Linked DNA regions of Saccharomyces cerevisiae S288C. The main gene of each other region encodes a partner of the protein of the gene in region 4 in a complex. Each region holds a gene or a part of one and is shown on either strand. Other genes may lie near its edges. The genes, in order: MRPL36, MRPL44, MRPL27 and MRP35.

What was found.
Region 1: MRP35 (region 4) and MRPL36 share a complex: the UniProt entries of both Saccharomyces cerevisiae proteins name them as parts of the mitochondrial large ribosomal subunit.
Region 2: MRP35 (region 4) and MRPL44 share a complex: the UniProt entries of both Saccharomyces cerevisiae proteins name them as parts of the mitochondrial large ribosomal subunit.
Region 3: MRP35 (region 4) and MRPL27 share a complex: the UniProt entries of both Saccharomyces cerevisiae proteins name them as parts of the mitochondrial large ribosomal subunit.

What each region holds. Positions count from the first base shown.
Region 1 is NC_001134.8:477,422-486,137, reverse strand, and holds MRPL36 (mitochondrial 54S ribosomal protein bL31m MRPL36), read left to right. Parts: upstream 1-1,634; coding exon 1,635-2,168; downstream 2,169-8,716. Other genes in the region: transcription factor TFIIIC subunit TFC1, read left to right, coding at 1-1,396; GRS1 (glycine--tRNA ligase), read left to right, coding at 2,771-4,774; CBP6 (Cbp6p), read left to right, coding at 5,215-5,703; MUD1 (Mud1p), read right to left, coding at 5,815-6,703, 6,793-6,800; TEF2 (translation elongation factor EF-1 alpha), read right to left, coding at 7,091-8,467. UniProt on the Saccharomyces cerevisiae protein: Component of the mitochondrial ribosome (mitoribosome), a dedicated translation machinery responsible for the synthesis of mitochondrial genome-encoded proteins, including at least some of the essential transmembrane subunits of the mitochondrial respiratory chain.
Region 2 is NC_001145.3:720,460-729,104, reverse strand, and holds MRPL44 (mitochondrial 54S ribosomal protein mL53 MRPL44), read left to right. Parts: upstream 1-7,701; coding exon 7,702-7,759; intron 7,760-7,906; coding exon 7,907-8,145; downstream 8,146-8,645. Other genes in the region: RRP5 (Rrp5p), read left to right, coding at 1-3,171; MTF1 (RNA polymerase specificity factor), read right to left, coding at 3,454-4,479; TATA-binding protein-associated factor TAF7, read left to right, coding at 4,720-6,492; ORA1 (oxidoreductase), read left to right, coding at 6,709-7,512; MRE11 (MRX complex nuclease subunit), read left to right, coding at 8,452-8,645. UniProt on the Saccharomyces cerevisiae protein: Component of the mitochondrial ribosome (mitoribosome), a dedicated translation machinery responsible for the synthesis of mitochondrial genome-encoded proteins, including at least some of the essential transmembrane subunits of the mitochondrial respiratory chain.
Region 3 is NC_001134.8:766,695-769,180, forward strand, and holds MRPL27 (mitochondrial 54S ribosomal protein mL41 MRPL27), read left to right. Parts: upstream 1-1,545; coding exon 1,546-1,986; downstream 1,987-2,486. Other genes in the region: glutamine amidotransferase subunit DUG2, read right to left, coding at 1-912; SSH1 (Ssh1p), read right to left, coding at 2,249-2,486. UniProt on the Saccharomyces cerevisiae protein: Component of the mitochondrial ribosome (mitoribosome), a dedicated translation machinery responsible for the synthesis of mitochondrial genome-encoded proteins, including at least some of the essential transmembrane subunits of the mitochondrial respiratory chain.
Region 4 is NC_001146.8:393,691-402,126, reverse strand, and holds MRP35 (mitochondrial 54S ribosomal protein bL35m MRP35), read left to right. Parts: upstream 1-3,756; coding exon 3,757-4,104; downstream 4,105-8,436. Other genes in the region: NCS2 (Ncs2p), read right to left, coding at 1-1,087; protein channel TOM70, read left to right, coding at 1,590-3,443; NMA111 (Nma111p), read right to left, coding at 4,449-7,442; NAF1 (RNA-binding snoRNP assembly protein), read right to left, coding at 7,757-8,436. UniProt on the Saccharomyces cerevisiae protein: Component of the mitochondrial ribosome (mitoribosome), a dedicated translation machinery responsible for the synthesis of mitochondrial genome-encoded proteins, including at least some of the essential transmembrane subunits of the mitochondrial respiratory chain.

The DNA.
Region 1 (8,716 bases), on a different chromosome or scaffold from region 4:
TCTGGAATGGAATAATTTCAAAAGTTTTGTCAATTCTGTACCAGATAATGACTCTCAACCTCAGGAAAACATCGGGAATTTGATCTTAGACCGTAGCGTTAAAATTCCGAGTACAGATTTCCAACTGCCGCCACCTCCTAAGTTATCAATGGTTGGTTTCCCCCTGCTTTATAAATATAAAGCTAATCCATTTGCGAAAAAAAAAAAAAACGGTGTCACAGAAGTGAAGGGAACATATATCAAAAACTATCAGTTGTTTGTTCATGATCTTAGTGATAAGACAGTTATACCGTCCCAAGCTCATGAACAAGTCCTGTACGATTTTGAGGTCGCGAAGAAAACAAAAGTCTATCCAGGCACTAAAAGTGACTCTAAATTTTATGAATCGCTGGAGGAATGCTTGAAAATTTTGAGAGAGCTCTTCGCTAGACGTCCAATTTGGGTTAAAAGACATCTTGATGGGATTGTCCCGAAGAAGATACACCATACTATGAAGATAGCGCTGGCACTCATATCTTATCGTTTCACAATGGGGCCTTGGAGAAATACATATATCAAATTTGGTATAGACCCCAGAAGTTCAGTGGAATACGCCCAATATCAAACAGAATATTTTAAGATTGAAAGGAAATTACTATCTTCTCCCATAGTGAAAAAGAATGTACCAAAGCCACCACCCCTGGTATTCGAATCAGACACTCCAGGCGGTATTGACAGCAGGTTCAAATTTGATGGAAAAAGAATACCGTGGTACCTGATGTTGCAGATTGATTTATTAATTGGTGAGCCAAACATTGCAGAAGTTTTTCACAACGTCGAATATTTAGATAAGGCGAATGAACTAACTGGATGGTTCAAAGAATTAGACTTGGTCAAGATAAGAAGGATAGTAAAATACGAACTTGGTTGCATGGTTCAAGGAAATTATGAGTATAATAAATACAAGTTGAAGTATTTCAAGACAATGTTATTTGTTAAAGAATCCATGGTACCCGAAAACAAGAACTCAGAAGAGGGAATGGGTGTTAACACCAATAAAGATGCTGATGGGGACATAAATATGGATGCAGGTAGTCAAATGTCCTCAAATGCCATAGAGGAGGATAAGGGTATCGCTGCTGGTGATGATTTTGATGATAATGGCGCCATAACTGAAGAGCCAGACGACGCTGCTTTGGAAAATGAAGAGATGGACACTGATCAGAACTTGAAGGTGCCTGCAAGTATAGACGATGACGTGGATGACGTTGATGCAGATGAAGAAGAACAAGAAAGTTTTGATGTTAAAACAGCGAGCTTCCAAGATATCATAAATAAAATAGCTAAACTAGATCCTAAAACCGCGGAAACAATGAAAAGCGAGCTCAAGGGATTTGTTGATGAAGTCGATCTGTAATAAGTAGGTTTTCTTTTATTTCAATATCAAAATATGCCAAATGTGCAATAAAACCATAACTACGTATGTGATATTTCTGAGTTTTGTCCCCAAACCGTAAAGAGCGATTATCTCGTGCAAAATGCATCAAAATCAAATAACTAAAATGAAAGGGTATCATTATTATTCCTAAAAGTTAAGAATGCCTCCAGAAAGAACGGGTACCAACGCAAACGAACACACGTTTTGTTCACTCCTAATGTTGAAGTCTATATTTGCGAAGCGATTTGCTTCCACAGGGTCATATCCTGGTTCTACAAGAATTACTTTGCCAAGAAGGCCTGCAAAAAAAATTCAACTGGGGAAGTCACGACCGGCTATTTATCACCAATTCAATGTCAAAATGGAGTTGAGTGATGGAAGTGTAGTTATCCGGAGATCCCAATATCCAAAGGGTGAAATTAGATTAATTCAAGACCAGAGAAATAATCCGCTGTGGAATCCTAGCAGGGATGACCTAGTCGTTGTGGATGCTAATTCTGGTGGTAGCTTGGACAGATTTAACAAGAGGTATAGCTCTTTGTTTTCTGTCGATTCAACGACCCCAAATTCAAGCTCTGAAACAGTTGAACTATCTGAAGAAAATAAAAAGAAAACACAGATTAAAAAGGAGGAGAAGGAAGACGTTTCTGAAAAAGCGTTCGGTATGGATGACTATCTATCTCTGTTAGACGATAGTGAACAACAGATCAAATCAGGTAAGTTGGCCAGTAAGAAGAGAGACAAGAAGTGAATAGTGTTTGCTCCCCTTACTTTTCTATTCTCGAACCAATTTATATTCCTTTTGGGACATAGATCTCAATCGCATCTGTTTGAAGACTACATAAACAGCCTTGTATATACCGCAACATATACACATACGTCTACATATGTATATATTGACAACGAAGATTCTGCGAACGCTTGGTTTGGCGCTATCGCGATAGATTAAGTGCAACAAGACACACATTTACAAACATAATATGAACCAGATATGATTCATGGATTATCGAGGCAAATGGTCTGTGAATGAAGCTCACTTACGCTGCAATAAGCAGCAACGGCATTGTAGTGATCATTTTCTACGCCTCGTAATATTTCAGCGCAGTGGAAAAAAATTGAAAATTTTTACTCTTCTCGAGTGTTGAATCACTGCTGCGATACTTATCACGTACTTTGTATACATAATTTTACTTGCAATTAGGACTCGAAATCTGTTCAATTACTTTTGAGGATTTCTTTTATTTTAGTTTCCCTTTTTGCATTCGTGTTGATTTTCAAGAAAAATTGTCGTTCTTCAATATCAGTAGACGATTTTACTCTCAGATTGTTAAAAAATCGGTTAAGATTAAAAGAATGAGTGTAGAAGATATCAAGAAGGCTAGAGCCGCTGTTCCATTTAACAGAGAACAGCTAGAAAGTGTTTTGAGAGGAAGATTTTTTTATGCCCCAGCTTTTGACTTGTACGGTGGGGTTTCTGGTTTATATGACTATGGTCCACCAGGTTGTGCATTCCAAAACAACATCATTGACGCCTGGAGAAAGCATTTTATTTTGGAAGAAGATATGTTGGAAGTTGATTGTACTATGTTAACTCCATATGAGGTTTTGAAGACCTCAGGTCATGTTGACAAATTTTCTGATTGGATGTGTAGAGATTTGAAGACTGGTGAGATTTTCAGAGCTGACCATTTAGTCGAAGAAGTTTTGGAAGCTCGCTTAAAGGGTGACCAAGAAGCCAGAGGTTTAGTCGAGGATGCTAATGCCGCTGCTAAGGACGATGCCGAAAAGAAGAAGAGAAAGAAAAAAGTTAAACAAATTAAAGCAGTCAAATTGGATGACGACGTTGTCAAAGAATATGAAGAAATTTTGGCTAAAATAGATGGTTATTCCGGCCCAGAATTAGGTGAATTGATGGAAAAATACGATATCGGTAACCCAGTCACCGGAGAAACTTTAGAATCTCCAAGGGCTTTTAACCTGATGTTTGAAACGGCTATTGGCCCATCTGGTCAATTAAAGGGTTACTTGAGGCCAGAAACTGCCCAAGGTCAATTCTTGAATTTTAACAAGTTGTTAGAATTTAACAACAGTAAGACCCCTTTTGCCTCAGCCTCTATCGGTAAATCATTTAGAAATGAGATTTCCCCAAGGGCCGGTTTATTAAGAGTCCGTGAATTTTTGATGGCAGAGATTGAACATTTCGTTGACCCATTGGACAAATCTCATCCAAAATTTAATGAAATCAAAGACATCAAGCTTTCCTTTTTGCCTCGTGATGTTCAAGAAGCTGGTTCTACTGAACCAATTGTCAAGACAGTTGGTGAAGCAGTTGCTTCAAGAATGGTCGATAATGAAACTTTGGGTTACTTTATTGCCAGAATTTACCAATTTTTGATGAAAATTGGTGTTGATGAGTCCAAATTGAGATTCCGTCAACATATGGCTAATGAAATGGCACATTATGCTGCTGACTGTTGGGATGGTGAATTGAAGACATCTTACGGGTGGATTGAATGTGTCGGATGTGCTGATAGATCTGCCTATGATTTGACCGTTCATTCCAAAAAGACCAAAGAAAAATTGGTTGTTAGACAAAAATTAGATAATCCAATTGAAGTCACCAAGTGGGAAATTGATTTGACGAAAAAATTGTTCGGTCCAAAATTCAGAAAAGATGCACCAAAAGTTGAATCTCATCTATTGAATATGTCTCAAGATGACTTGGCTTCCAAGGCTGAGTTATTGAAGGCAAATGGCAAGTTTACTATAAAGGTTGATGGTGTTGATGGCGAAGTCGAGTTGGACGATAAATTGGTTAAAATCGAACAAAGAACAAAGGTTGAACACGTTAGAGAATATGTTCCTAGTGTCATTGAACCATCTTTCGGTATTGGCCGTATCATCTACTCCGTTTTTGAGCACTCTTTCTGGAACAGACCAGAAGACAATGCCAGAAGTGTTCTTTCCTTCCCACCTTTGGTTGCTCCAACAAAGGTTCTTTTAGTTCCTTTATCTAACCACAAAGATTTAGTTCCTGTTACTACTGAAGTCGCCAAAATCTTAAGAAAGTCTCAAATCCCATTTAAGATTGATGATTCTGGAGTTTCCATTGGTAAAAGATATGCCCGTAATGACGAATTAGGTACTCCATTCGGTGTCACCATTGACTTTGAATCTGCCAAAGACCATTCTGTCACTTTGAGAGAAAGAGATTCCACCAAGCAAGTTAGAGGTTCCGTCGAAAATGTCATCAAGGCTATCCGCGATATCACTTACAATGGTGCTTCTTGGGAAGAAGGTACCAAGGATTTGACTCCTTTTATTGCCCAAGCTGAAGCTGAAGCTGAAACTGACTAAATAAATGACTTAATTTTAACTATATATCGCCAAACATGTAAATTAAAAAAAGAAGCGAGAAGTATATACATGTGTGTATGAATAAATAATTCGTTTACTATTGATACGTATTGCAAGATATGATTATGTACTGTCCACTAATACGATTATTTTGGAAGTTTATAAAAGAAGTGCGGAAATCACATCTGCTGTTTATTTAGCCATTCCTCACACTAATAGTTAAAGTACTTTCATAGCAGCTCTGCGCATGGTCGGACATGCGAAAAATTCTGATATCAAGAAAAAGCGAAATATTTCCGGCCTTGTAGGGGCCAAAACATTAACGTATATCAAGATTTCCTGTGGTAGCAACATTATAAGAAAAAAAGGTAGCCTTCATTGAAACATTCTCTCTATCAGCTTACCAAGTTAAACTCCGTATTCCACAAGCAAGTGCCAAAATGTCTTCTTCCCAGGTCGTCAGGGATTCTGCCAAAAAATTAGTTAATTTACTGGAAAAATATCCAAAGGATCGTATACACCACTTGGTCTCATTCAGGGATGTACAAATAGCAAGATTTAGACGTGTAGCGGGTCTGCCAAATGTAGATGACAAAGGAAAATCTATAAAAGAGAAAAAACCCTCATTAGATGAAATAAAAAGTATAATTAACAGAACTTCCGGTCCATTAGGACTGAATAAGGAGATGTTAACCAAAATTCAAAATAAAATGGTAGATGAGAAATTCACGGAAGAAAGCATCAACGAGCAAATTCGTGCCTTGAGCACTATAATGAATAATAAATTCAGAAACTATTACGATATTGGCGATAAGCTCTATAAACCTGCAGGAAATCCCCAATATTATCAACGGTTAATAAATGCCGTTGACGGTAAGAAAAAGGAAAGCTTATTTACTGCAATGAGAACTGTATTATTTGGTAAATAAAGAGCACATTATTTTCTAAGCTTGTAAATACATATTTATTCATAATGGAGAACGTTATTCAAATTTATCTGTGAATTTCTTTACTCGAGGTATACTTCCGCAAAGGAAATTCTACTTAGCAAATCCTATGGTAACGTCATTGTTTTGTAGCTTGTAAGTGGAGCCTAACTGATTCTTGATTTTCGTAGCATCAGCAACGGTCTCGTATTCCACGAAAGCTAGGTTACGAACGCTAACTAATCTGATTTCAACTAAAGCCTCATTGCCAAGTATTTGCGACAATAATTGCTCGGTAGTGCCGCTTGGCAAATTTTGTATAAGAAGGACTTTGTTCGGTGGATTTTCCATTGTATTGGACACTTTAGCCCGCTTAAGAGGTTTCTGCGATTGTTTTAGATTTTCTTGCTGAGACTTCATGTTTTCCAATCTACGGGTTTCAAATTCTTTTACAATCCTATCAATCTCAGCCTCCTCTACCTTTCTTGATCTCAGCTTATGCTTCAGGCGTCTTATTTGCCTTTTAAGCCTGAACTTTTTGGCGCATATATCATCACTACGTAACTTGCGTTTAAGTTTCCTTGCTTTAAGCACCTTCTTTATATCAAGGTTGTACGTTTCGTCATTACCTTTTTTTTTTTGCATTTCTATTGAAAGACCCAATAACGAATTTGTTCGAGCCTTTCCCATTCTCACTTTACGACCTTGAACTTTTAATGCTGTTGTCGTGTATTTTTCTAGAAACCGGTCTGCTTCTTCTTGAGTGACAAACGTTAAAAATGCTTGGTTAGTCATCTTTGATGATCTTGAAATAGAAACTTCAAGAAGGCCCATTTGATCATCTAGTAACATCAGCGGTTGTGATGATATTTGTAATTTATTGTGGGGAAGGGGTAGCGACGGATTAATGGCATACTTGTTGTTGGGATTAATGTGTTTCAGAAGTAATCTGGTATAATTTTCTTTATTTGCTGGCCTACTGGGTAAATTTTGAAAGTACAGTCTGTTTTTATTGGTCATAGAGTATAGAATAATGAAAACGTTAGTAGAAAGAAGATTTAAGGAAACGTAAATTACAAGGTATATACATACGCTGACATGGTTTCTTTAGGTTTGATGAGGCCGTCTTTTGTTGATAGCAGCTTTTTCCATTTTTTTTTTTTTTGTTTCGAGTAACGTATGGTTTAGTATCTGTCTTCTCCTTCTCTTACAAAAAAACCCTTTGTAAAATAGTGCCGAGTTGGAGGACATCAATCTGATGGGCAAGAAAACACCAACCCCCCCTATATGAAAAGAAAATGATAAGCAGATAGATAAAAATACTTAATTAACTAATACATAAAAATAAGAGGTATATAAAAATATTATATGGAAGCAATAATTATTACTCTTATTTCTTAGCAGCCTTTTGAGCAGCCTTGGTAACCTTAGCGGCCTTTTCAGTCTTGTCAACAGACTTGATAACACCGACAGCGACAGTTTGTCTCATGTCTCTGACAGCGAATCTACCTAATGGTGGGTATTCACTGAAAGCTTCAACACACATTGGCTTAGATGGAACGAACTTGACCAAAGCAGCGTCACCGGACTTCAAGAACTTTGGATGGTCTTCCAACTTCTTACCAGATCTTCTGTCGTTCTTTTCCAACAATTCGTCGAATCTACAAGCAATGTGAGCAGTGTGACAATCCAAAACTGGAGAGTAACCAGCAGAGATTTGACCTGGATGGTTCAAAACAATGACGGTAGCGTTGAAAGAAGCGCAACCCTTTGGTGGATCGTTCTTAGCGTCACCACAGACGTTACCTCTTCTGATTTCCTTAACGGAAACGTTCTTGACGTTGAAACCAACGTTGTCACCTGGAACACCTTGTTCCAATTGTTCGTGATGCATTTCAACGGACTTGACTTCAGTGGTAACACCAGCTGGGGCGAAAGTAACAACCATACCTGGCTTGATGACACCGGTTTCAACTCTACCGACTGGCACAGTACCAATACCACCGATCTTGTAAACATCTTGCAATGGCAATCTCAATGGCTTGTCAGTTGGTCTAGATGGTTGTTCAATGGCGTCAATGGCTTCCAACAAAGTCTTACCCTTGACGACACCGGCCTTGGTTTCCTTTTCCCAACCCTTGTACCATGGAGCGTTGGTGGTAGCTTCAATCATGTTGTCACCGTTCCAACCAGAGATTGGGACGAATGGAACAGTCTTTGGGTTGTAACCAACCTTCTTGATAAAGTTGGAGGTTTCCTTGACAATTTCTTGGAATCTGGATTCGTCCCATTTGACGGAGTCCATCTTGTTGACAGCAACAATCAATTGTCTAACACCCAAGGTGAAAGCCAACAAAGCGTGTTCTCTGGTTTGACCATCCTTAGAGATACCGGCTTCGAATTCACCGACACCACCAGCAATAATCAAGATAGCACAGTCAGCTTGAGAAGTACCAGTAATCATGTTCTTGATGAAATCTCTGTGACCTGGAGCATCAATAACGGTAACTTGGTACTTTGGAGTTTCGAACTTCCACAAAGCAATATCGATAGTGATACCTCTTTCTCTTTCAGCCTTTAACTTGTCCAAAACCCAAGCGTACTTGAAAGAACCCTTACCTAATTCAGCGGCTTCCTTTTCGAACTTTTCGATGGTTCTCTTGTCAATACCACCACACTTGTAAATCAAATGACCGGTAGTGGTAGACTTACCAGAATCGACATGACCGATAACGACAACGTTAATGTGAGACTTCTCTTTACCCATGTTTAGTTAATTATAGTTCGTTGACCGTATATTCTAAAAACAAGTACTCCTTAAAAAAAAACCTTGAAGGGAATAAACAAGTAGAATAGATAGAGAGAAAAATAGAAAATGCAAGAGAATTTATATATTAGAAAGAGAGAAAGAAAAATGGAAAAAAAAAAATAGGAAAAGCCAGAAATAGCACTAGAAGGAGCGACACCAGAAAAGAAGGTGATGGAACCAATTTAGCTATATATAGTTAACTACCGG
Region 2 (8,645 bases), on a different chromosome or scaffold from region 4:
ACATGCAAAGTTTCAAATGAACAGGCTGCCCAACAAAAAGATACCATTGAAAATATTGTTCCAGGCAGAACAATCATTACTGTCCATGTTATCGAAAAAACCAAAGATTCTGTTATTGTTGAAATTCCTGATGTTGGCTTGCGTGGTGTCATCTACGTTGGTCATCTCTCTGATTCCAGAATTGAACAAAATAGGGCTCAGTTGAAAAAGCTCAGAATCGGCACTGAACTGACTGGTTTGGTAATTGATAAAGATACAAGAACCCGCGTTTTCAATATGTCCCTCAAAAGTTCTCTGATTAAAGACGCTAAAAAGGAGACTCTTCCATTAACATATGATGATGTTAAGGATCTAAATAAAGATGTACCAATGCACGCTTACATTAAATCCATTTCTGATAAGGGTCTCTTTGTTGCATTTAACGGTAAGTTCATTGGGTTGGTTTTACCAAGTTACGCTGTTGATAGTAGGGATATTGATATCAGCAAGGCGTTTTATATTAACCAATCCGTTACCGTCTATTTATTAAGAACAGACGACAAAAACCAGAAATTCCTATTATCTCTAAAAGCTCCAAAGGTCAAAGAAGAGAAGAAGAAAGTTGAATCTAATATCGAAGATCCTGTTGATTCGTCTATCAAAAGCTGGGACGATTTGTCTATTGGTAGTATTGTTAAAGCAAAAATCAAGAGCGTCAAGAAAAATCAATTGAATGTTATTTTAGCGGCAAATTTGCATGGCAGAGTGGACATTGCTGAAGTGTTTGACACGTATGAAGAAATTACAGATAAGAAACAGCCGTTGAGTAATTACAAAAAAGACGATGTCATCAAGGTAAAAATCATAGGTAATCACGATGTCAAGAGCCATAAGTTCTTGCCGATTACACACAAAATCTCAAAGGCTAGCGTTTTGGAATTATCCATGAAACCATCAGAATTAAAATCTAAGGAAGTGCACACAAAAAGTCTTGAGGAAATCAACATTGGGCAAGAGTTAACTGGCTTTGTCAACAATTCATCAGGTAACCACCTATGGCTAACAATTTCTCCAGTTTTGAAGGCGAGAATTTCTCTACTAGATTTAGCTGATAACGATTCAAATTTTTCAGAAAATATTGAATCTGTTTTCCCATTAGGTTCAGCCCTCCAAGTGAAAGTTGCCTCTATTGACCGCGAGCATGGCTTTGTCAATGCCATTGGAAAGAGTCATGTTGACATAAATATGTCCACAATTAAAGTTGGTGATGAATTGCCAGGTCGTGTTCTAAAAATAGCTGAAAAGTATGTTTTGTTAGACCTTGGTAACAAAGTGACTGGTATTTCCTTTATTACGGATGCGTTAAATGATTTCTCCCTAACATTGAAGGAAGCTTTTGAAGACAAAATTAACAACGTCATTCCAACTACCGTTTTATCTGTTGATGAACAGAATAAGAAAATTGAACTATCCCTTCGTCCTGCTACTGCAAAAACTCGTTCGATCAAATCTCATGAAGATTTGAAGCAAGGCGAGATTGTAGATGGTATTGTTAAGAATGTGAATGACAAAGGTATTTTTGTTTACTTGAGTAGGAAAGTTGAAGCCTTTGTCCCTGTTAGTAAACTATCTGATTCTTACTTGAAGGAATGGAAGAAGTTTTACAAGCCTATGCAATACGTTTTGGGAAAAGTCGTTACATGCGATGAAGATTCTCGTATTTCTCTAACCCTAAGAGAATCCGAAATAAATGGTGATTTAAAGGTTCTAAAGACCTATTCAGACATTAAGGCTGGTGATGTTTTCGAGGGTACAATTAAAAGCGTCACTGATTTTGGTGTTTTCGTCAAACTAGATAACACTGTTAATGTTACTGGTTTGGCACATATTACTGAAATTGCGGACAAAAAACCTGAAGATCTTTCTGCCTTGTTTGGTGTTGGGGACAGAGTAAAAGCTATTGTTTTGAAAACAAATCCAGAAAAAAAACAAATTTCATTGAGCTTGAAAGCGTCTCATTTCTCTAAAGAAGCCGAATTGGCTTCTACTACCACCACCACTACTACTGTGGATCAACTGGAAAAGGAGGATGAAGATGAAGTCATGGCAGATGCTGGCTTCAACGATTCCGACAGCGAATCTGATATCGGAGACCAAAACACCGAAGTTGCCGATAGGAAGCCTGAAACATCTTCGGATGGGCTATCCTTGAGTGCTGGTTTTGATTGGACTGCTTCCATTTTGGATCAAGCGCAAGAAGAAGAAGAGTCTGACCAAGATCAAGAAGACTTTACTGAAAATAAGAAACACAAGCACAAGAGAAGAAAGGAAAATGTTGTTCAGGATAAGACCATTGATATCAACACTAGGGCACCAGAATCTGTTGCCGATTTTGAACGTCTACTTATCGGTAATCCAAATTCGTCCGTAGTGTGGATGAACTATATGGCTTTCCAACTACAACTGAGTGAGATCGAGAAGGCTCGAGAGCTCGCAGAACGTGCGCTAAAGACCATCAACTTCAGAGAAGAAGCCGAGAAGTTGAATATTTGGATTGCAATGCTGAATTTAGAAAATACTTTTGGTACCGAAGAAACTTTAGAAGAAGTGTTTAGCAGGGCTTGTCAGTATATGGACTCATATACTATTCATACAAAACTGCTTGGTATTTATGAAATAAGTGAAAAGTTCGACAAAGCAGCAGAATTATTCAAAGCTACAGCTAAGAAATTTGGCGGCGAGAAAGTTTCTATCTGGGTATCGTGGGGTGATTTTTTGATCAGCCACAATGAAGAGCAAGAGGCACGTACTATTTTAGGTAATGCTTTGAAGGCCCTACCAAAGCGTAATCATATCGAGGTTGTCCGCAAGTTTGCTCAATTAGAATTTGCAAAGGGTGACCCAGAAAGGGGTCGGTCATTATTCGAAGGTTTGGTTGCTGATGCGCCAAAGAGAATTGACCTGTGGAACGTTTACGTAGACCAGGAAGTGAAGGCAAAAGATAAGAAGAAGGTGGAAGATTTATTTGAGAGAATAATAACCAAAAAAATAACAAGGAAGCAGGCTAAGTTTTTCTTTAATAAATGGTTACAATTTGAGGAATCTGAAGGTGACGAAAAGACCATTGAATACGTTAAAGCTAAAGCTACTGAGTATGTCGCTAGCCATGAATCTCAAAAAGCAGACGAATAATTCCTGATGGATTTTTAACTGTAAAGTAATATAAATGGCTAAGTTTGTAAAGTATATTTGTAAAGTACATAGAATGTAAAGTTTCAAGAAGCAATTTCTATCGATCAATTTAGCTTTGACGGTTCGTAGAGCTCCTTTTCTTAAAGTTTTAGTTCCGCTTCTCGCTTCTTGATTACAAGATGGTTCCGTGTTAACGAAGATTGAGTTCTATGTATTTTTTATATTCACACGCTAAAATCACATATTTATTAAATAATGAAGTAAATTTTAAAAGCACTTTTTTCAACCAGAGTGCTCTGTTTGATACATATCAACAAAATCCATTAAAATATCTGGTTTGAAAGGCCACTCCATGAATAATTTCGTTAGATATATAAACTCGTCATTTGTCAAATCAATCGGACACTTTTTTAGCAGATCTTTGTCAGTGATTCTACTATTAAAATATTGTTGGCCACCATGTCCCAGCGAGTCCATGACAGTATTCAAGGGTGTTCTTTTCAAAATCATTAAGTGCCTCGTGACATAATCCCAATTATCTACGTCAAAATCGAAGTCAATTGGGTCCATTTCTACTAACGCAATTGGCTTTCCCTTTGTAGGCCATATTTCCGCAGCACTAAATAAAATGGGATCCCATTCTTCTATGCATTGACTATCAAATCCCTTCAATTCATTTGCGTCTGATATGGCAATGAGTTTAGTATCTGTAAATGCCTCCCTTACTACTGAACATTTGGATCTAGAATGCATGCCTGGCCTAGCTAGAAGTTTTCTAGCTGTTGTGCTTGGCATCCATAATAACATCTTTACTTTACCAAACCTATACAACCAGTTCTTGTTTCCAATACAGGACAGCCACTGCATTATAAGACCTTCAGAACCCTCCCCCGTCACATTAGCAACGGTTAGAAATTTATCATTAATATGATCTGAGGATTGAACTTCAGGAACAAATATTCGCTCTTCGTCAATTAGATTCGAGTAGGTTGACCAGTCATATGGATCTCTTTTTAGAATTTGCAATGGAGACCCTTCGAATTTTGCATTCAGAAACTTGTAGAGACTTGAGCGTTTTTCTAATAAAGAATATTGCCTGGGGCAATATTTATTATAAAAAATAGCTGATTGTATACCAACACCAGGGTAGAGGTCAAGTACTTTCAATTCTTCTGGATGTTTATACGTTTTAGTTAAATCCAGCTTATCAAAGATTTTATTGTATACTGTTGGATTCCATAAATATTTGAAACCATAAAAGAACTTAAGTTTGGAGATATCTTTAATACCAGGGATTGGAACAGACATAGTTGCTGAGCCTTCTTACTTCAAAGAATGGTATTGACTGACGTAGTAACCGCATTTGTAAAGTTTCATCTCTATTATCATCATACAATAATATCGCTGTTATTCGGCCGATGAGAACAGTAAATAAAATTTCAAGACAAAACTTGCTAGCAAAAATAATAAAAGCGAGAAGAATAGGAAGAACTACATAAACAAGAGACAGTGTTACCATTCAAATTAGTCGCAATAATCGACGTAAATATGGCTGTTATAAGAATTAAAAAACCCAGAGGACCAGGAGAGAAGGATCAACCATTAGAAGGCGAGCCTAAACTAAAGAGAATTCGCATAAAGACAAAGGTAACTGATGAAGATATCAAACCAAAGCCTAAATTAAAGATAAACCTAAAGAAAAAGAAAGAGAGTGCTGACGGCAAAGAGAAGAAGAATTCATTGAAGTTAAAGTTAAACTTGAAAAAAAATGAAGAACCAGTTAAGAAGATACACAAGGCGCCAAAGCTACGTCTCAAACCTATTAGAATTCCTGGGGAAGCGTACGACTCAGAAGCCTCTGATATTGAAGATGACCCTCTCATAGAGAGTGGTGTGATATTAAGGATACTTCCAGACATACAGTTAGAGTTTGTAAAAAATTCGTTAGAATCAGGTGATTATTCTGGGATAAGTATCAAGTGGAAAAACGAGAGACACGCTGTCGTAACAATAAACGATGTAATGTATGGTGCCATTCTAGTAGATTTGCCTACAGTTATAGAAGTGAACAAGAGCGTCGATAGAAAAAACCTCCTGAAGACATTTGACGTATCACAAATGCTACTATGCATAAGACCTATACAAGAAGAGGAAGAAGTATATGCCCTAGAAGCCCCTGATACAGAAGATCTGGTTGTTAAGCATTTTGAAGGCATAGAGGATGAAATTTGGGAGAATAAAGAAACCTTCTTAAAAGGATACAATGGTGCGCCTTTAAGTGATATGGAGGCTAAACATTTGAAAGAAATAGCTTTGAAGGGCTATGACTACAAACATGGAATATCACCACCTTTGTACAATGTTCGAAATAGACGATTTAGACGGAAAATGGACCCTAATGAAATAGACTATGTAGAAAAAGTGGTTGATATGCTTTTGAAGCAAGATAAACAGGCAGAAGAGGTCAGCTATGATCTGGTTGATAAAAGTGAACTGCAAGCGAGGCAAGAGCGTGTTTCTAGTTGGGAAAATTTCAAAGAGGAGCCTGGAGAGCCTTTATCTAGACCTGCTTTAAAGAAAGAAGAGATACACACAATTGCTTCGGCAGTAGGAAAACAAGGTGCAGAAGAAGAGGGAGAAGAAGGAATGGAAGAAGAAGAAGAGGAGGATCTTGACCTAGGCGCTGCTTTTGAAAGTGAAGAGGAAGGTAGCGGTGCCGAGGGAGACAAGGAGCAACAACAAGAGGAAGTCGGTGATGAGGTGGATCAAGACACAGGCGGAGAAGATGATGACGATGATGACGACGGTGACATTGAAGCTGCTGGTGGGGAAAGTGAATCTGATGACGAAAAAGACGAAAACAGACAGCACACTGAATTACTTGCGGACGAATTGAACGAACTAGAGACCACCCTGGCCCATACCAAGCATAAATTAAGTAAAGCCACGAATCCTCTTTTGAAAAGCAGGTTCATAGATAGCATTAAAAAGCTCGAGAAGGAGGCTGAACTAAAACGTAAGCAGTTACAACAAACCGAAGATTCTGTCCAGAAACAACATCAACATCGCTCTGACGCAGAAACTGCAAATAACGTCGAGGAAGAAGAAGAGGAAGAGGAAGAAGAAGAGGAAGAGGATGAAGTGGACGAAGACGAGGAGGATGACGAAGAAAACGATGAGGACGAGGATAATGTGCATGAACGGGAACACATACAAGAGAACAAGGTGGTGCGCGAACTTGATGAAGCCCCCGCAGAGGAAACACTCGACCAGAACGATCTCGATATGATGATGCTATTTGGTGCAGAGGGTGATGAGTAAGTTCTCTTTATCATCTATATATTACTCTTATACACTATACGACTCTACTCTATGACGTATAGCATTGATATATATTAAGGCACGACACCGATTTTTCTTATCGGAGCGATATAAAAAGCTGAAGAAAGGAGGATAGATGAAACAGCATGGCGCATAGAAAGTGTTCAAGCTCACTAGTAAAGGCGGGAAATAGAACATTGAGAACGTATTTTGATAATGTCCCAAGGTAGAAAAGCTGCAGAAAGATTGGCTAAGAAGACTGTCCTCATTACAGGTGCATCTGCTGGTATTGGTAAGGCGACCGCATTAGAGTACTTGGAGGCATCCAATGGTGATATGAAACTGATCTTGGCTGCTAGAAGATTAGAAAAGCTCGAGGAATTGAAGAAGACCATTGATCAAGAGTTTCCAAACGCAAAAGTTCATGTGGCCCAGCTGGATATCACTCAAGCAGAAAAAATCAAGCCCTTCATTGAAAACTTGCCACAAGAGTTCAAGGATATTGACATTCTGGTGAACAATGCCGGAAAGGCTCTTGGCAGTGACCGTGTGGGCCAGATCGCAACGGAGGATATCCAGGACGTGTTTGACACCAACGTCACGGCTTTAATCAATATCACACAAGCTGTACTGCCCATATTCCAAGCCAAGAATTCAGGAGATATTGTAAATTTGGGTTCAATCGCTGGCAGAGACGCATACCCAACAGGTTCTATCTATTGTGCCTCTAAGTTTGCCGTGGGGGCGTTCACTGATAGTTTGAGAAAGGAGCTCATCAACACTAAAATTAGAGTCATTCTAATTGCACCAGGGCTAGTCGAGACTGAATTTTCACTAGTTAGATACAGAGGTAACGAGGAACAAGCCAAGAATGTTTACAAGGATACTACCCCATTGATGGCTGATGACGTGGCTGATCTGATCGTCTATGCAACTTCCAGAAAACAAAATACTGTAATTGCAGACACTTTAATCTTTCCAACAAACCAAGCGTCACCTCATCATATCTTCCGTGGATAAACCTAGCTAAACTAAGTAAATCTGTATACTTTTTATACATGTAAGACTTTTTAGCTATTTCATTCTTCCCTGAACCGTTTTGCGCGATTCTACGGAATATACCGGCGAAATAAAAGAGATAAACTTATGGATCCTCAAATAGAGGATGAACAGATGTGAAGAAGAAACGAGCTTAATTATATCTTCGCCATGATAACTAAATACTTCAGTAAGGTAATTGTCAGGTTTAATCCCTTTGGCAAGGAAGGTATGTATTTTTTTTCGCTCTGTTATTCGTTCTCCTTACCTTTGGCCATCATGATTTAAAGATTTGGCTAAACTAGGCTGAGGTAGGCTCGAACCGATCTATCACAAATACTAACAGCAAATGATATGGTCATATCATTGATTTCAGCGAAAGTTGCTAGGTTAGTACTTGCTGCCATTCCACCAACGCAACGAAACATGGGCACGCAGATTCAATCGGAAATTATCTCAGATTACAATAAAGTCAAGCCTCTTGTGAAAGTAACCTACAAGGACAAAAAAGAAATGGAAGTCGATCCATCAAACATGAACTTTCAGGAATTAGCCAATCATTTCGACCGTCACTCGAAACAGCTGGATCTCAAACATATGTTGGAAATGCATTGAGAAAATAAAGGCATCTACAAATCTCATTGTAGGCATGCACGTTTCTAATATTCTAACAAAAACAAAGTCAGAGTTCACAAGCAAGCCTGTAAATAATATATATGCAATTACACAAACGTATAGATAGATATACCCAACCAAACTGACTTAAGGTTTAAATAGTATGGCCAATCGAATAGAACCCAAACATTATAGCCATATTAAATTACTCTTTACGCTTGTAAGGAAGACAATGTGGAAACAACATTAAGAGAATGCAGACAATTGACGCAAGTTGTACCTGCTCAGATCCGATAAAACTCGACTATGGACTATCCTGATCCAGACACAATAAGGATTTTAATTACTACAGATAATCATGTGGGTTACAACGAAAATGATCCCATTACTGGCGATGATTCTTGGAAAACTTTCCATGAAGTCATGATGCTGGCCAAAAATAACAACGTAGACATGGTTGTACAGTCCGGTGATCTTTTTCACGTGAATAAGCCTTCCAA
Region 3 (2,486 bases), on a different chromosome or scaffold from region 4:
CAACCCGCAATATAAAAATGGGAACTCAATAGTTTGGGATATGACGCTATCTTCATTGTCGATTTTATCGTTTATCAAGGAGATTTTAACAGTGTTTTGCCCTTTATCTTTAGAGAACTCCCAAAGCTTGCTTATTCCATCACCAGCGGATGAAATTATGTGCTCTGCACCAGAAGTTCGTGAGCTTTTTTCCAATAACTGATTAAACCTGGGACACAATTTATTAATAGAATAAATAAACCCATAATGTGCATATTTAATAATGTTTTCGGAGGGAACCTCTATGATGGCAGCGCCACAGTTTTCTTGTAGAGAGGTCAATGAAGTTTGAGATAATGAATTTGAACTATATCCAGTCGGACCTAACGAATCAAAGAACTTATCATATCTTCTATGCGGTAATTTATTGATATTTTCTACTCCATCAGAGGATTTTTTTTCAATCTTCTGAATCAAGTTCTCAACATATAGTAAGCTTGCATTTTGACAGCCAAAGACAATAGTTTCCAACGAATCCAAATATGCCAATGAGAAAATATCACCAATATCGGTCACTGAGTAAACAGTGGCTATTTCAGTAACAGGTAGAAAGTCATCTCTAATGGTCTTTTCGCCAATGGACCAAATTCTCACCAAAGAATCTGCGCCGCCTGAAAATAAAAAGTTTTCATCTTCTGATCCTGTCAAGCACAAAACCGAAGATCTGGTATGCGTTTCCTCTTGTGATTCGCCTAGTCTAATCGTATGTATTAGATTATATGTGGGAAGATCAAAAACCAATATCTTGGAGTCTTGGCTACCAGCAAACAACAATCTTTTTTTTGGAAATGCAACAATGGATAAGATGGAAAAAGCGTGATTCCACCTATGAATTAGTTCAGAGTGCAATGCGACACCCCTGCTATCGTACATGATTTCACAATTACTTCTGCCCTCGTTTTTCACTTTTCCTTACAGGGTTGTTCGGTTTCTCGAAATAGTTTTTCACTTAAATAATTCAGTTACACACATTTTATTGATATTGGTGCCACAGCTTTTCGCGGCGCACAATGCGATTATCACTCAAGTTTATGGTAAAGTCGGTATTCCCTCTCATGAGAAAAAAAAAAAAAGATACCATCTTCATTGAACTTCTAATTGCAGCAGTAATTGTGAGCAATGCTCAAGAGCTTCCTTACCATATAACAAAACATCGAAATCAGAGGATCATTCTAGATCAAAGTGAAATGCCCTTAACTATGAAAAGGAATACGAAAATAGCTGTGAAGTGTTATTATAATTATTAACAAGGTTAGTAATCTTTAAACAGAGCCTAATACTTGCGGGAAGGACTTTCAATGTTGCTTCACTGCAGCTTGTTGGCGGCTATTTGATGATGATTTTCTTGAGATACATAATTATTATTATCACGTTTCACGGATTATTTTTGAAAAGCTAGAATTAATACAAAAGATAGGACTATTGAAGTAGTATACACCAATTTTTGCTTAAAAAAACTACGGGAATCAAAGATTACCTTGAAAGTGAGGACAGCAAATAACTAAAATGAAAGGCTCACCCATTTCTCAATTTAGTAAGACCTCTATTAATGCTCTTACCAGGCCTTGGAAGAAATACAGAGATGGTGAATTATTTTATGGGTTATCAAAAGTTGGGAATAAAAGAGTGCCGTTGACCACGAAGCAAGGTAACAAGACGATGTACAAAGGGACAAGAGCTTCAGGGATTGGTAGACATACAAAATTCGGTGGTTATGTGATAAACTGGAAGAAAGTCAGAACCTATGTTACCCCAGATATGGTTAATTTCGAATTAAAGCCCTACGTTAACGCAAATGTACCACCTCTAAAACACGAATTTAAAGGATTTAGCGGCGGCCCATTAGATCCTCGTTTACAGTTATTAAAGATAAAAGAATACATAGTAAACGGGAGGGTACAAAGCGAAGGGGCCACCGACACTTCATGTTATAAGGAGCGTGGATAAGTTATTTATAATCTTTCTTCAATATGCGTGTAAATACTAGTTTTCGACTTTATAGGTAGATAAAAAATAAAACTTAAGATTGTAAAACAAAATCAAATAAAACATGGCTTAGACATTGCACCATATGTCATCTTTCTTTGAGTTAAATATAGATACATATAAATCTAAAAGAAGAGCAAAAAGTTCGTACGTATATAAATGCGCGTAGCAGAGAGAATTTGATCTTCTTTTTTGTTTTCCTTCTTTTTTTTCTTTTCTTTGTTTACATAGCACCTGGAACACCCAAGACTTGATTCAAAGCACTTTGACCGCCACTTTGTTGGTATTCAATGGTAATGACTTCTAGCAAAGAAAACCCACCAGCAATGCCAACAACTATACCAGCAGCTTTACCTTTCAAACCCAAAGATTCACCGATAACGGTGATCAAACTTAAGACGGATGCACCCGTAACAGCTGCGATTGGAATGACTTTGTTCAATTCTTTAGCGACATTCTGT
Region 4 (8,436 bases):
GCTTAGCCATACTTGATTTAGGTTGCGTCAATTTATCTGCGGTTCTTAAAACTGTCGATATTATATTTGAATAATCGTTCTGAATATCCTGAAAGTATTTGTTGGTAATTTCGTTGATTGTCATATTTTTTACCAATTTTTGTTGACCAAGTGACGGCAGTGATTTTCTGGCGATCAAGCAATTAGGCTTCACATTAGTTTCTTCAACGTTAATGAGGAACTGTGCCAGATTTCTGATTTGTAAAAAACTTTCAATCTCGACGGATAATAGATCTTTCATAGGATATAGGTTTTTATACTTACATGGTTTATTATTCAAAGTATCAAATGATTCCGAGTCTAGAAACGTCGCTATTTGAGAACCTTTACCTTTTACCACAAGAGAAATAATTACTTCAGATAGCTTTGTCATGGAATGTCCCCACATTATGGCATTATAACCATTTTCGTATGCAAAATGCTTGATCAATTGAGTTTTTATAATCGATATTAAATCAGACCTGGATGAATTATTGAGACAGTATTTGCCTAATATTTCTTTTAATGTTAATATATTGCTATCATCTACTGACTTTGACTTGCTGAAAATCTCAAAATTTTCATTGTCAATGATAAAAGTCGATACTTCCGATGCATTGTTGAAAAATTCGTTAACATCAATAAAATGGACATTAAATATGTTGGATATTTTATTCAGTTGTGACATTTTTTCATTAATCAAGGATTCCATACGTTCTTTGATAACAGAAACATTTTCCTCGGTGAATACCGTGAGTACATCGACGGTAAAGCCTGTACGATTATTGTGTTGCTTAGTTTGTTCCAATAGCAAGTCGTGCACAATATCTAACATAACCAGAGATCCTGAATCAGAATGTGATAAGGGGAGCAGAATCTTAGAGACGGATCCTTCTTTTTCAAATGGGTATATAACTTTAAATAGGTTCCTGAAATATTCATCCTTCATCATTTGTTTCCTTTGTTTAGTACTAACAAACTTGATGAAACATTCATCGCAAAACTTTTCCTTTCTAGACTCAACTGTCGCTGGATTTCTGGCAGATGCAGGGCACCTCTGGCACTCCATAACTTGATAGAATTATATTTTTAAAACTAGGATAGGGATGGACAATAGCAAATACAGAAACCGAAGTTAATTTTATGCTCGTCTCACTCATCTCATCGGTACTATAACAGTTTTTCACTGCGTAACTGAAAAAAACTCCATAATACGTAGATAATGATGATGTAATTAAGTCAACTATTCAAAAATAATAAAGATGACTTTATTGAAAGAAACACTGTGCAGGCAACTTCAAATGTTTCCATAAGGTTCAACAGTGTTATATCATTTCAGAAACAAACATTCAAGGATTAAGTGGAAGGAAAGAAAGAGTTTCATTGCCATTAGTTTAAAATATACAATATCACTGTATACGATGAATAAGATGGCGTTAAACCACCTTTTGTGTTTGGACGACCAGTGGAAAAGATCTTAAAGGAATTAAGAGGAACTCCACCACTCACCATAAAAGAGAAGCAAGATTCGGAAGTGAAATTACAGCTCACATCTAGGTTCTCAATTGCCAATGAAGAGCTTCATTACAAGGAACAAGACAGCCATTTTGGCAACCGTTGCTGCTACAGGTACTGCCATCGGTGCCTACTATTATTACAACCAATTGCAACAACAACAACAACGAGGAAAAAAGAACACGATCAACAAAGATGAAAAAAAGGACACAAAGGACTCTCAAAAGGAGACTGAAGGTGCTAAGAAATCTACAGCCCCATCAAATCCTCCTATCTACCCGGTTTCTAGTAATGGCGAACCAGATTTTTCCAATAAGGCAAATTTCACCGCTGAAGAAAAGGATAAATATGCATTAGCGTTAAAGGACAAAGGTAACCAGTTCTTTAGAAATAAAAAATATGACGATGCTATTAAGTACTATAATTGGGCATTAGAATTGAAAGAAGACCCAGTTTTCTACTCGAATTTATCGGCTTGCTATGTTTCTGTGGGTGACTTGAAAAAAGTTGTTGAAATGAGTACTAAGGCTCTTGAATTAAAACCAGACTACTCAAAAGTTTTACTGAGAAGAGCTTCTGCTAACGAAGGGCTAGGAAAATTTGCGGATGCGATGTTCGATTTGTCTGTATTGTCTCTAAATGGTGACTTCAATGACGCCTCTATTGAACCAATGTTGGAGAGGAACTTGAATAAGCAAGCTATGTCTAAATTGAAAGAAAAGTTTGGCGATATTGACACCGCTACTGCTACTCCAACTGAATTATCCACCCAACCAGCTAAAGAACGCAAAGACAAGCAGGAAAACTTGCCTTCAGTTACATCCATGGCCTCTTTCTTTGGTATTTTCAAACCCGAGTTGACTTTTGCCAATTATGATGAATCCAATGAAGCTGATAAAGAGTTAATGAACGGTTTAAGTAATTTGTACAAAAGATCTCCCGAAAGTTACGACAAGGCTGATGAGTCTTTCACGAAAGCTGCAAGGTTATTTGAAGAACAATTGGACAAGAACAATGAGGATGAAAAGTTAAAGGAAAAATTGGCCATCTCATTAGAACACACAGGTATTTTCAAGTTCTTGAAAAACGATCCATTGGGAGCTCACGAAGACATCAAGAAAGCTATTGAATTGTTCCCAAGAGTCAATTCATATATCTACATGGCATTAATCATGGCTGATAGAAATGACTCGACTGAATATTATAACTACTTCGATAAAGCGCTGAAACTGGACTCAAACAATTCTTCTGTTTACTATCACCGCGGCCAAATGAATTTCATTTTACAAAACTATGATCAAGCAGGAAAAGATTTTGATAAAGCTAAGGAATTAGACCCAGAGAATATCTTCCCTTATATTCAATTAGCATGTCTAGCGTACCGTGAAAACAAGTTTGATGACTGTGAAACTTTGTTTAGTGAAGCTAAGAGAAAATTTCCAGAGGCACCAGAAGTTCCAAATTTCTTTGCTGAAATTTTAACAGACAAGAACGATTTTGACAAGGCTTTGAAGCAGTACGATTTGGCTATTGAATTAGAAAACAAGTTGGATGGTATTTATGTTGGAATTGCGCCTTTGGTCGGTAAAGCCACTTTGTTGACAAGAAATCCAACAGTAGAAAATTTTATTGAAGCCACGAATTTATTAGAAAAAGCGTCCAAACTAGACCCAAGAAGTGAGCAAGCTAAAATCGGTTTAGCTCAAATGAAATTGCAGCAGGAAGATATCGATGAAGCTATTACATTATTCGAAGAATCCGCTGATTTGGCTAGAACTATGGAAGAGAAATTACAAGCCATTACTTTTGCTGAAGCCGCTAAAGTTCAACAAAGAATTAGGTCTGATCCAGTATTGGCTAAAAAGATTCAAGAAACTTTAGCTAAATTACGCGAACAGGGTTTAATGTAAACAGTAAACATAAACTTAAAAACTTTTAGGAGAAGACAAAAACTAAGTAACAAAGTAGACTAAATGACAAAGGAAGAGCAGCAATGACATTGACATCTCACTTTGAAAATTTTTGTTTTCATTTTTGTTTCAATATACACGTATGCATGTTCTAATATATATATATATATCTTTTTCTTTTTCTCTTTCATTCTGTAAATAATTAGCAGTGCGTATAAACCACAACCAATTTTTTCAACCTTGAAGCCCTCGCCAATTTGCGGAGCCTAAAAAAATCTGGTCAAATACAAAAAAGATAGTATATATATCTATCATGAAAATTAGCTTGCATAACAAACGGCAACGAGGAGACCAAAACCAAAACATGTCTGTTTTCAATGTACTCAAACCACTACTTAAAGGTTCAAATAGTTTCAAAGTGAAGCTCAACGGCTTTCTATTCAATAACGTTTCTACAATAACAATAAGAACTTTAATGAAAACTCATAAAGGTACAGCAAAGAGGTGGAGGCGTACCGGTAATACTTTTAAAAGAGGCATAGCTGGAAGAAAACATGGCAATATAGGCTGGTCCCATAGATCATTAAAAGCCTTAACCGGAAGGAAAATTGCCCATCCAGCTTATTCAAAGCATCTAAAGCGGTTATTACCCTATCATTGAAGGTGGAATAATTATGTTCTCCTCTAAACCAAACGCACCGTTAACCCCAAATCAATTGTTTGAGTATTTGCTTTCGGTCTTCATGTATATAAATAAGTATGAAACAATAACCATAAATTTATACAATCGATAATACCTTAGAGAATTCAAGCGTTGAAGTAATTAAATACTATTTCGTCAGGCGCTTGCAACCATCTCGACATCATAATCCTAACCCCTCAAAATGATTGAAAAACTTGTAAATCTTAACGCTCCTGTGATAGTCTATAAAAAAACTGTTCTTTATGGAAGACTTTGATGTATACATACATACATACATATATAAATGTTTTATCAAATCTGGCCTATTTTTCACTTTGGCTGTTGCCGGTAAATTCCTTTTCAATCCATTTGTGCGTGATGTTGTCCCTCTTCAATTCTGCAGTAGGGAAGTAATGATAATTCGTTTTCAGTGAAATAGCGAAGGGCACATTGTCGAAAGTCATTAACCTCATTTTACAATAACTATTATCAGGGATTGTTTTGACAACTTTCAAAAATGTATCTAGATCAGGTGTTTCAATTTCATTGACATGAGTTATGAAGTTTGTGGCAGATATACCGTACTGGAGCGCCGGTGACGATTCTCCCCTGAATGTACAGTAGACACCCTTTGGAACATCAACCATAGCTTGCAAAACAGCATGATGCGGCTTTTGTAAGATACTACCTGCAAATATTACAAAACGGTCGGTTTCCTGAACTTCCACGGTTTTAATTTTCAAATCAACAATATTACCATCACGAACAACTTTAAAATCTAACATGGCTGATGGCAAAATACCATCAGCTGAGCTTACAACTCCATTCAAATCATTCATTTCAGTGACTAATTTTCCGTTCACAGATAAAATGACGTCACCGGTCTCTAAATGAATCTTGTCTTCTGTATAAGAAACTCTAGAAACAGTGATAAACTGTAGCCTGTTATTTGATTCATGTTCCATACGCATGATCCATTCTTCGGGCACACCTCTAATTCTGGCTTGCAGAACGGAAATTGAACCGAACCCAGCATCAACTATACTTACTCTTGGTTTACCGCCATTTTTTAAGATATCTATAACTTCCCTACAGTCCATTATATCTAATCCCATCAAATAAACCTTTTCTTTATTTTCTAATCTTTCGCCTAAAAATGGAAGCCATAAACCTCTTACTGTACCATCATTATCTGTCAAAATACCGGAATTACATCTGGTGCTAACGTTGCAGTCGATAGATATAGCTTCTAAATTAGTGGCACGGTACCTCGGAATTAAATTACTTGGAATACTTACAGAGGAAATATCGGTGACAGTGGTCTCTGAAGTAACAATTCTATCATTCTGGGTAAAACCTATAAACTGAAGCTTATCACCACGTTTCATTCTGGTGGTAGATAGCTTGGGAGTGATTAGTGGAGCCTTTACTAACTCTGGATCATATTTAACAATAGCGAAGTTGTGAGTTGGATGGAGAAATTCTACTGTGGCTGGAACTACAAGGGAATCTGCAATGGTGACAAAAGTATCAAGACAATCATGTGGAACTACCCTTCTGGACACTAGGACATAACCTTTTTCAGCATCAATGATTAAGCCTGATGTTTTTAAAATATCAGCAGAAAGTGAATCCAATGGAACTGCTGCCATTGTAGCCACTGTACATAACGATGATGACAATTTTGCAACTTTTTCATTATTAACAGGAATAGGAATAATTTTGGCCGAACGAGGTTTCAACGCATCGGCTGGAAGTGGATCAGCAACATTTTTGTAATCCCAAATACCAGTTGTATCGTTCCTTGTGTAAACTCTGAATTCATTGCACCAATGACGGTCAATGTAAATAGAAGTAACAAGTGGAGAATGCTGATCTGTTAGATGGTGGTATCGTACAGTAACGCGCTTACGATCTGGAATAGTTTTCATAATTTCAATAAATGTATCTAAGTCGGGGGTTTCCTTATTGTCTATAGAATCCACAATCCAACCCACTCTTTCTTTTGAATCAAAGTTGAAAGACCCTGATGCACTACTTAAAAATACACCCCTGACAGGTAGCGCATAAAACCTTGCCATTTGATATGATAATTCATGAAAAGTCGCACCACAAACCTCTACATAACGATGAGGGGTGATAGCATGTAAATCACCAACAGTGCAGGTGACAGTACATTCGACACCGCCCCTTTGAATAACCAATTGGATTTCCTTCCCAACATTTTCATCTTGAATTTTATCCACTTGCATGAAAGAAGATATGGTTTCACCGTTTATTGAAATTAGAGTATCACCTTCTTTAATTTTATCATAGCCTGGGCCTTCTCTTAAAACGGTTTCTGCTACCAACAGTCCGATATTTTCGGGAAATTTAGCACGAGCCTCACTTTCTCTCTCTGAAGTTAAACCTAATCTTCTACACTCGTCATAAGGCTTCAGCAGCCATTGAACTTGAATCGTACCACGTGTGATAGGTTTGTTGGTTTGGATGCAAATTAACGCTCTAAGAATTCTATCTAACGGTAAAAAAAAATCAGTAGATGCCTCTGTAGAGCCACCTGCCTGTAAAGCCACAGCATACCCATCTATATTTACGACTGGAGAACCACTTGAACCGCCAGAAGCAGATGCAGCAGCTTGAATATATTCTGTATTGAAGTCATTGTATGTCAGCTCACCATATTCTGGAGCGTTCCTGTCAATTCTACTAATAAAACCTGCTAGGATACTTAATTTCTCACCGGCATCATTACCGACAACTCTAATTTCTGAGCCGACCTTAGCCAAACTTGGTTTTAGCGTTAACGCTTTGATCTTAGAATATTTTATGTTTTTCGGATCGAATTTGAGGAACCCAAAATCATGAACAGGATCTCTGTAAATTGGTATAACATCGCATTCTTCATGATTATCGAAAACTACGTAGCCTACGAACGGACCAGGACCAACGACGTGCCTATTGGTCAGAATTATACCTAATTTAGCATCCACGACAAATCCGGTAGCTTCAGATACCAAAGCAGAATCGCAATCGAATGGCGCAACTTGTGAAAAATGAATGGAAACCACTGATTTAACAACGTTGGAGATGGTATTTTGCCATCTTAGATAATTTTCTGAATCTGTGAGTACAGTGTTATTATTATTAGCAAAGTGCAACGGCTCTATAATGATTTCATGGTCTGTATATTCTTCCTCTTGATCTCCGGTGGCGCTTTCCAACTGTTTCCTTTTTACAAGCGATGATTCACCAGAAGTTCCATCGGAAATTTTAGAATGGTCTCTTTTCTTTATATTGCTCAACGATATGGTCATTAGTAGATCTAAAAAACCTTTACTGTACTCTACGTGTGTATTCAGAGTATAAATATCTTCTAAATAAACTTCCGTATTTAAACCCTCGTAGAACTTTTTTATTTACATATAAATTTTTTGAAAGTTTCATATCATCGCCTTGAGGAAAAAAAAAGAAAAAAAGAAAAATTATCATGTCACACGCTGAGATGGCGTCTAATAATGGTAGTGACAGTAAAATAATATTCAATTAAGAAACTTGTTAAATTTTTCTTGCCTCTTTCTAGTTTATCTATGATACATAGCATTTATTATTAAATATTTCAATCGTGACTCTAGGTTCTTGGATCTTGCTGATGCTGATGCTGATACTGGTGTTGCTGTTGCTGTTGCTGCAAAAGTATTTGATGTAATTCCATTACTTGTTGGAAATTACCATTTCCCTGAGGAGGTGCTTGAGGTGGCGGTTGGATGTACATTGGGTTTTGCATTTGATTCATGGGAGGTACGCCATATGGAAGTGGCGGTTGACTTTGGGTCATTGGCATGAACGACTGCTGTGTTGGCGGCGACATATTGTTGTATGCGGGAGGTAAGCTACCATATGGAACAGTGTTGGAGAATTGGGCCGGTGTCGCCTGCCCAAATGGTGGAGGTGGATACTGGAAGTTAGTCGGCTGAGGGAAAGGTGAGTATGGTGGATAAGGCATACCGTTTGGTTGTTGAGGGAAGGGATAATTATTTGCAGAAAACTGTTGTTGGTGGTGCTGTGTGATTGGCACTGGGGAGGAGCCATTCCGATTAGAGGTAGCACTGGATTCACGCTTGATATTTTCACGTGCGTTTCTTGATTTGTACCCATGTTGCATCGGAGCATTACTGCTCATGCCCAACGGCGGTACCAGTTTAGGTAAACTGTTGGCCTTGGGCTGCCGAGCTCTCTTTACCTTGACATTGTCACTATCGTTGGCTAGTTTGCGGTTGTCCCTTTTCTTTCGTTGCCGTTGCTGTTTCT